Linked DNA regions of Coturnix japonica. The protein of the gene in region 2 interacts with the protein of the main gene of each other region in a pairwise test. Links are inferred from orthologs where the notes say so. Each region holds a gene or a part of one and is shown on either strand. Other genes may lie near its edges.

Region 1 (4,476 bases), on a different chromosome or scaffold from region 2:
CACTGTTGGGTCATGACTGAAAACAGCCATCCTAGCTACAAGAAAAGCCAGGTCAAGCCAGACACAACACAGAACTTCTGCCCCAGTGTGGCTAGTGAGCTGGAGAAACTGAAGACTCACCCTCTTCTTCAGCACAGAAAAGGTGGCTCCACAGCCTGTACAGCTCCCTAGAAGAGAAAGATAAGAGGTCAGGCAGGGTTCTGATACTTGGGACCCTAAGGCACAAGAGCACCCACATTTGTTGTACAGACCCTCCCAACCCTGCTGTCCCCAGGAGAGCTACAAATACCCTTTCCATTGGGGGAAAGAGTCACTAAGGTGCCAGGACAAAGTAACACGTCACTTTGTCCTCTCACAGTTCAGTGGTCACCAACAGCAGCACAGACCCCACAGTGCTGAGGTTCCCCAGACAACACTTGCTCTCGGCCTTACCAAAATTGTTGCTGGGGTAGCGTTTGCGCAGGCGCTCAGTCAGACGTGACACCTTGCTGCGGATCACATCGTTTTTGCTCATAAAACCGTTGTCTGGGAGGCTGAGGTCAAAATCTGCTGAACACTGAGAGCCCTCATCATCCTCCTATAAGGAGCAAAGCTGAATAAGCAAAAAGCAGTGAGGGGCCATAGGGCAGCCTGCCCCAGAGACAAGCATGAAAACAGGATGCTTCACCTGTCAGCATCACAAGCTACTGCCAAACCAGGTAAAGGCTACCAGCTCCAGCTGGGAAGAGATGCCCCCTCGCACACCTCAGCACAGCAGTACTCACCATGACCAGCAGCTGGTTCTCCTTCTCCCGCAGCATGGGACAAAGAGAGGCAGTAGAGATGGAGTGAGACTGCAGAGGTGCCCAGCCCCACTCCTGCCCTCCCCAGGCATCCACTTTGCCCTGTCACAGCAGTCCTCCGCCCCAATTGCCTGACCTGCAGGCACAGCCCACCCCCACCATGATCAAACCTCAATAGCATCCTTGAACTCTTCATCAGGCTCTGCCTCCTCTGCCTCCTCCACGCTGCCAGGGGTAAGATCCTGCAAGAGAATCAGAGCTAGTCCTATCCTATTTCACCCGCCTTTGAAGTAAAGACCACACTGTCAAGGCAGCTCTAGAATGAAGCACCAGCTCACTGGCAGACCCATAAAGTGAGCATCAAAAGGTAGGGAGAGCCCCTGCCTCTCCAGGGTAACTCCACACACATAGCAAGATAGAGTGAAGAACCCAGCAGAGCAAGGCATCCCCTCAGCAGTTCAATATGGAATCCCGAGCCAGGTACACAGGCTTCCAGCAAAACTATTTTGTGTGCAGATGGACAGAAGCAAAACCAGTTGCAAGAGCTGAAGCTGCAGCTCCCACCCCAAGTCTCTGAGCCCTGCCACCCCTCACCTCTGTGCTGGTGGGTGTGGGAGTCCGGTCTGGTGGGGCATCAGTTGGTAGGGGCTTGGCAGGCTCTGGAGGGCTCTCAAGAGGTTTGGTGCCCAAACTCTGCTCAACAGAGGCCTTGAGCTCCTTTATCACTGATAAGAGGAGAACACAGATGGATCAAGGTTGCACTCCCCTTCCTCCAGCCACACAGGCTACCTCCAGGAAGAGCCCTTACCTTGGTAGAACTGGCTGTTGCCCAGGAAGAGGGTGCTGTTGAGGATGGCCATGACCCAGCAGAGTGGCAGCAGGTAAAGGATGCAGACAGAGCCCAGCAGCGCTCCGTAAAACCTGGGAAAGAGCAGCAGGTCAAGAGAAATCAGAAATCCCACAGTCCCTCTCCTTGTCCTTTGTCTGCTCTCCGCAAGCACCAAACACAAGAGCAGCTCTACTGGCCTGGTCTCTCTCCCTGCTAAGCCCAACGCAGGGCACCCAATGCAGCCCTACTCACTGGGAAGAGACAGAAGGGTTCTCCCAGTACAGCACTCGATACGCCGCCTCACAGCTGTAACACAGCCCGCTCAGGAACCCCTCCAGCTGGATCAGGCTGAAACGAGACCACTGAGTCAAGAAACGGCCCCACGAACACACAGCCTGTCCTGCTCCGCTCACACAGCACGACCTAGGGAAGGTGATGCCCCAGGACAGGAGGGTGCTGGACACTCACAAGCACTTGACCTGGGTCAGAGCCTCCTGGCGTGACAGCTGCACTTTGCGCAGGTCCTCGCGGCGCACGCTGTGGTACTTCCTGCGCAGCAGCTCCCGCTCCGAGGGCCGGACACGGCAGGTCTCCTGCAGGTAACACAGCAGCGCCGGCAGCACCACCAGCAGCGCCAGCACCGAGTACCAGGCGGCTGCGGGACACAGCACAGCATCAGCCGGCAGGAAGGTGGGATGGGACACAGCACTGCCCGCATACAGTGCACACATGGACACAATGCACACACATACACACACACAGGTACACACATACACACACATGGACACAATGCACACACACATACACACACATGGACACAATGCACACACATACACACACATACACACACAATACACACATGTACACACATACACACACACCTTGGTCCAGGGTGAGCAGGAGGAAGTTCAGGCCGATGCAGACGATCATGGAGCACAGCGGCCGCTGCCACCTGTGGGACAGCACACAATGAGCTGCCAATGAGCTGCGGGCCCAGCCCCGGTCCCGGCCCCGTCCCGCACCTACCGGAGGAGGCAGCGCACGCCCTCGGCCGCATCCCGCAGCGGCTCCAGGTACATCTGCAGCCGGCGGTAGCTCCGCACGAGGTCCAGCAGGTCGAAGGCGGCGGCCTTGGGTGTCGATAGCGGCTCTGCCGACCCCTCCCCGCCCCCCGGTGCTGCCGGTGCCGCCCCGTCCCCGCCCGCAGCCGGCCCGTCCCGCTCCGCCGCCTGCATCCCGCACCGCACCGCACTTCCGGGAAGCGGCCAGGTGCGCCGTGACGTCACCCGGCGGCGCGGCACGCAGCCAATCAGAAGAGCCGAGGTGGGAGGTGGGGACGGAAGCTCCGCCCAAGCGATGGTTAAAGGGCGGAAGTGGCGGCGGGGCGGCAGTGGGTGTGTTACCATGGGAGGGCGCGGGGTGCGCCGGGCCTCACCATGAGCTGGGCCTCACTCGGCCTCACTCGGCCCCGGCCCAGCTCGCAGGGCTGTAAGAGGCCGGGAGCCGCAGAGCAGCCTGTGCTCCTGCTCCCACCCCACGATGAGCGCGGCCCATCCCACGGAGCAGCGCCCCGTGTCACCGCACACAGGCGTGTCTGGGCCTGGAAGCACACGGTGTTCCCGGCCCTTGTATCTGTGAGCTGTAGGATATGGAGCTGAAGGGCGGGCTGCTCCGTGTGCATGGAACCTCGTGGCACTGAGATGCACGGTGCAGCTGGTACAGCAGAAGGGAGAAGGAACAGTATCCAGAGGATAATATACTTCCAGGCAACCAGTCTGTGGCAGAGTGGAACTGGGTGGGCTTTAAGGTCCCTTCCAACATAATCGCTCTGTAATGATACACAAACACCAGGTTCTGCTCCATCCCTCCCATGGTGTGAGAGGGCTGGGGCAGCCCATCCTCAGGGCAGGGGTTTGAGCCCCTCTTCCAGAGCTCAGCACCCACAGCCCCAGAGCACAGTGGGCCCCTGCAATCACTGCTCCAGGAGGGGTGACCCCGAGGCTGCAGAGCTGAGTGTAAGTGATCATCTCTTGATCCCTGCAGGTCCCAGTCCTGCTACAAAACCCCAGACACCAAGTGAGCATCAGTGTTGCTTTATTTGGAATGTGAATCCAAAGGCACCAGAGAAGGGACTGCAGTGGGACAGCGGCAGGTACAACAGGCAGCGTGGGGTTGTGGGGTAAGGCACTTATGGCAGCGCTAGCCTCCCTGTGTGTGGGCAGCCTGGGCCTTGGGGCTGCACCAGAGCACACGGGAGCCAGCAGTGTCTGGGACCAGCCCTGACACAGGGTGGGGATAGCACATCCTGCCAGGGGTTGGCCCAGGGGCTGGCAGAGTGTGGGAGCACACAGGTATCTGCTGACACAGCCCTCGGTGATGGAAGCTGTGATCTAGTGCCAACCTGGCCCCTCCGTGCCATCGCTGCTGCTAGCCCCACAAAAAGGCACCAGGTGACTGCTGCGGGGGCCACAGCTCTCCAAACTGAGCCTAACACAGGGGCTGGGGCAGTCCTTTTCTGCCCTGAAAGCAATGGCAGAATGTGTCCTCAAGCAGGGTGAGGACAGCTGGTAACCAAAGCAGCTCCAGCATGGTGCTCCTCCAACACTTCCCAGTCTCTGGCTGCCCAGTGCTTCTGCTGATCTCGCACAGCCCCGGCCACCTGTGGGGCTGGTGCAGACCTTACCACCGGAGCCCTCCCCTCGCAGACAGGCTGTGTCCTACAAGGACACTGCTGCAACCACCCTTCCATGATCAGTCTGTGGGCAGCACAGGGATGGAGATGGAGACACGCAGTCCCACAACAGAGAGAGTCTTCCAGGATGACAATCCAAGTGCTGTGAAGCCAGGCAGGGTGAGATGTGCCTG
Region 2 (4,382 bases):
TAACGTCACTGCCAGGCAGTTTGATTTTTGCTCCTTTTCAATTAAAAGCTTCACCCAGATGGGCTGATGAGCTGCAGCCCTGCCAGCAGCAATGACACAAAGGACAAGCAGGGAGAGCATCCCCCATCCCTGTAGTCCCAGTTCTGCTCCTCTACCTCTTACAAGCAGCCCAAGTGCTACTTTGAGATCCCATATACCCTTCCTCATGAGGGCTCTCACACCACAAGGTGCCTGGGAGCTCTGAAGGCTATTGAGCACCTGCAGGGCCTCATGCTGCCCGTGACCTTCAGGCACCAGGGAACACGAGGTGAACTGTGATGTTTTGGTGGAATGGCCACAAAGAGGCGGATAAAACCGAGAAGCCAATGAAGGAGCAATGCCCCCACTGCAGGCAGCACCTCCCCTGCTGCTCCCAGCCCTGCTTTTGCTGGAGCCACTTCCTGGCACTGCTGAGGCTTTTGACTTCCCTGAGGCTTCAGTCCTGCAGCTGATCATTAACTAACAGGAAATTCCTGACCCAGAGATTGCTCCGGCCTGGGTGCTGGACTGAGGCTTGGGTTTGCTGGGGCCACCCAATGAATCACACTGCAGACTGCTGAGTGAGATGACAAGAACTTGCTCTGCCTCGCTTCTCACAGCAATGGCACAAGCCACAGGGAAGCCAGACCGTGCAGGCAGAGCTGCTGAAGCAGAGATGGGCTGGCAGAGATCCCTGCTACCACAAGGGCCAAAGGGCAAAAAGAGAGTCTTGCAACATGGAGATAAGGAACCCACGAGCTCAGCCACGTTCAGGTATTGCAGCACCAGGTGCTGGCACTTGGTACACCACCCCACAGCTGCCCTGGCCACACACAAAGGAGACTGGTGACAGCTATGGGGTACACTGAGGTTTGTAGGAACACGGCCACAAGGCCAGAGCCATGAGAACACCCAGCCTACCTTGTTTGAAGGCTCCAGCTTCAAAGCTGCCTTTAGGATGGGGATGGCCTCTCTGTACTCGCCCTGCTGGGCCAGGACCTGGAAGATGAGGTGGGGGTTGAGGGAGGTGACTGAGGTCTGGTCCCTGCGCCTCCCCAGCCCTGCTGAAGTGCAGGGATGGCAGCAGCTCACCTTGCCCTTCCGGAAAAGTGCCTTGATGTTCCCTGGCTGGTGCTCCAGAACAAGGTTACAGGACTTCAGGGCCGCCTCATAATGGTCCAGTTTAAGCTGAGAGGCTGCCAGATTGTTGAGACATTTCACCTTCACATCCAGCAGCTCAGCCTCCTCATCCGGGGTGAAATCAACTGCAAAGACCCCAGAGGTGAGTTACAACAGGAAGGAAGCACAGGCAGCCCTCGCTCACAGCAGAAAGGGGTACCTTTGGAACTGGAGCCGATGACTTTGAGAGCGATGTCATAGGAATTGATGGCCAACACATAATCTGCCTGCTGGTAGTAGAAGTTACCTCGCTCCCGCTTGCGGTTGGCCAGGTCTATCTTTTCCTTCCCACTGAGCAGCTCCAGGTCTGGTGCATCCCGAGCCTCCAGCAGCTCGACCTCCAGCGTGAGGGCTGCGTTGGGTGGGATGTCAGGGCTCCTGCAGTGGCACAAAGCTGTGATCAGGCCGTGGTAGTGGGGAATGGGGATAGTTGTCATAGCCCTGTTTGGGCCCACCCTATCCCATTCCACACTCTCCATGCTCACCTGCCCTGTGCACCATAGCAATACTTGGCATCTGATGTAATCAAAGCAGTTTCTCTCATCTCCATAAGCTGTACACAGAGGTCCAGAGCCTACAGGGAGCAATGTTGCAGGAGAAGATGAGCAAAGCAACCAACCCTGACTCCAACAAGGACATTGCCAACCCCATGTCTCCCCCCAGGGTGAAGTTGCACACATCAGAGCAGCTTCCTCCAAGCCCCACCTGCAATACATCACAGTCTCCCAGGGTAAAGGTGAGGCTGGGGTTCTCCTCCACCACAGTGCCATCGTCCAGTGTGGCCCTCAGACGGACAGTCACCTCCTGGCCTTTGTGGGGGCGGCTCTCCACCCCCTGACCTGGCACGAGTGTCTTCTTCTTAAGCAAACCACTCCCTGGGCCAAGAGAAGCCAGAGGTGGTCAGCCCATAGTAGGGAAGGGGAGAACCTCACTCCCAACCCAACCTCAGCCTCCGTGGTCGCCAAAGCATCTTGGGAATGCCCTGCTGCCCTCCTGCCCTGCTCTCACCCAAGACATCGAGCCACTCCTGGGGGTCCTCAGCTGCTTCCCCTGGGCCTTGCTCTGCGGACTGGGCGTCCTCCTGCAGCGGTCCCCGTGCCCGTCCCACGTCCTCCAGCGGCGGCAGCTCGCTCAGATCATCCTCGTCCTCCTCCAGAACCTCGAAATCCTCCATACTGTCCAGCTGAGCGGAGCAGGCTGCGGCCGATTCCGGGCTGGGCGGTTCGGTGCCGCTGCCCGCCCGGCCGGGGGAGCCGCTGCTCGTCTCCTCTCCGCTGGAAGCCATGGCGGCAGAGCAGGGAGAGAGTAGCGACCTGCGGGAGATACAAACAGCAAACTGCGGACACCGCGATGAGGCGTCTAACACCACCCGAGCGGCTCGGGCTCGCACAGCGCCCTTCCGCCGGGGCCGGCCCGGGGAGGCCCCACTCACCGGTTCCGGCCCCTGGAAGCCCCGCCCCGCGCCCCTCTCCTCCACCACGTGCTTTTCTCCCGCGCGCGCGCCCGCCGGGGGGTCCCCCCGTCACGTTCCCGCCACGCGCGGGGACTCCCCTGGCAACGGCCGCGCGCCCCCCGCTCCCACCTACCCGCCAACCCGCGCCCGCTGGCCCCGCCCCCGCGCTCCCATTGGGCCGCTGCCTCCCGCCCCCCTCAGGCCATTGGGTGACGCCGACGTTCCTCATCGGCGCGTCGAGAACGGCGCGCCGCGGTCTTAAAGGGGCCGCAGCACCGAACCTGCTCCGCGGGTCCGGAACCCCAACCGGGCCGGTGTCCCCGCCGCCCGTCACCCCGGCAGCTCTCGGTGCACCGCCTCTAACGACTGTGGGTGCTGGAGGCCCACGGAGCTTTCCCGGACCTCTCAATCCCTGCGAGGTCGGTCCATCGCACAGAACAGCCCCGGGTTCGTTTTCCGGTACCGGGACAGACCCGGTCCCTTCACTAGACCCAATCGCCACCACTTCCGGCCCGGCGCCGTGACGCACACGCGCGGTGACGCCACGGGGTCGCGCTCGACGTGACCCCGCACCCGGAAGCGAGGAGCGGCCGCCGGTTCCTCTCCCGTCATGTGAAGGGAGACGGAAAAGGAGCGGCCCCGGTGCTGCCGAGGGACGGACGGAGATACCGAGTCCGGGTTTGGGGGGGGGGGTTCCGTTACCGGGCACTGCGGGGGCCGGGGATCCCTTAGAGGCAGCGGTGCGATGGAGCCCACGGCCTCGCGGGTGTTCTGCGGGCGGGTGCTGGGCATGGTGAACACCGAGGATGTGAACGCGATCATCCAGGCTCAGAAGAACATGTGAGTCCCGGGGGGGTCCCGTGAGCGGGGGCAGCCCCCGGTGCGCTCATATAACACCGGGAACTGCTGCCCCCCCCCCGCAGGTTGGATCGTTTTGAGAAGACGAACGAGATGCTGCTCAACTTCAACAACCTGTCGAGCATCCGAATGCAGCAGATGAACGAGCGCTTCCTGCACCACACCAAGACGTTGGTGGAGATGAAGAAGGATCTCGACAGCATCTTCCGTCGGATCCGGTAGGAAGAGCTGGGAGGGGATGGTGTGAGGGACCCCAAGGATGGAAGGGGTCTGTGTGTGTGTCCAGCTGTGAACGTGGCTCTCTCCTCCTGCAGGGCGCTGAAGGGGAAGCTGGCCAAGCAGTACCCGGAGGCTTTCAGCAGTGAGTGCTTCCTCAGGTTCTTCTTCCTTCGTCAAGGTTCCCCCTCCTCAGAATGTGCCTTCAATGGGGAGTTTGGGACTGCCAGCATGCAGCTGCTGTGTTAACAATCCAATGTATTGTGTAGGAAATCACAAAGCCACAAATGCAATGGGGTCTGATTTTGTTGATTACAATTGTTGATTAAAATCCTTCTGCCAGAGTGTGGCTGGCCTTGCAGTGCATCATGTTGCTGTTTGTATCTACAGCAGTTATTAACATCTACTTCTTCCTTTCCAGACATACACGAATCTCCTATTCTAGAAGATGACGACGACTTCGACCCGGTTCCGAAGAGCACGACAACCACCATTGCTACCTCTGAGCAGAGCACCGAGTCCTGCGACACCAGCCCCGACATCATCTCACCCACCACGAGTCAGGATTTCGAGGATCTATCACAGGGCCAATACGATTTACCAGCTGTGAATGGACAGAGTCTGACAGACGAAGACACCGCCAACGACCTGGACTAAG

What was found.
Region 1: the proteins of FKBP8 (region 2) and ZFYVE27 interact in binary tests that used the Homo sapiens proteins (3 or more experiments, as listed by UniProt). The link is inferred for Coturnix japonica from reciprocal best matches to the Homo sapiens genes FKBP8 and ZFYVE27.

Annotation. Positions count from the first base shown.
Region 1 is NC_029521.1:19,457,356-19,461,831, forward strand, and holds the start of ZFYVE27 (protrudin), read right to left. Parts: upstream 2,875-4,476; 5' UTR 2,847-2,874; coding exon 2,638-2,846; intron 2,564-2,637; coding exon 2,493-2,563; intron 2,267-2,492; coding exon 2,080-2,266; intron 1,960-2,079; coding exon 1,864-1,959; intron 1,704-1,863; coding exon 1,591-1,703; intron 1,508-1,590; coding exon 1,377-1,507; intron 1,025-1,376; coding exon 953-1,024; intron 786-952; coding exon 765-785; intron 578-764; coding exon 433-577; intron 168-432; coding exon 121-167; intron 1-120. UniProt on the Homo sapiens protein: Key regulator of RAB11-dependent vesicular trafficking during neurite extension through polarized membrane transport. Promotes axonal elongation and contributes to the establishment of neuronal cell polarity.
Region 2 is NC_029543.1:2,932,506-2,936,887, reverse strand, and holds the start of FKBP8 (peptidyl-prolyl cis-trans isomerase FKBP8), read right to left. Parts: upstream 2,831-4,382; 5' UTR 2,825-2,830; coding exon 2,784-2,824; intron 2,746-2,783; exon of another isoform or gene 2,630-2,745; intron 2,511-2,629; coding exon 2,206-2,510; intron 2,073-2,205; coding exon 1,903-2,072; intron 1,772-1,902; coding exon 1,683-1,771; intron 1,576-1,682; coding exon 1,358-1,575; intron 1,284-1,357; coding exon 1,111-1,283; intron 1,018-1,110; coding exon 940-1,017; intron 1-939. Other genes in the region: KXD1 (kxDL motif-containing protein 1), read left to right, coding at 3,396-3,490, 3,574-3,726, 3,823-3,869, 4,146-4,381. UniProt on the Homo sapiens protein: Constitutively inactive PPiase, which becomes active when bound to calmodulin and calcium. Seems to act as a chaperone for BCL2, targets it to the mitochondria and modulates its phosphorylation state.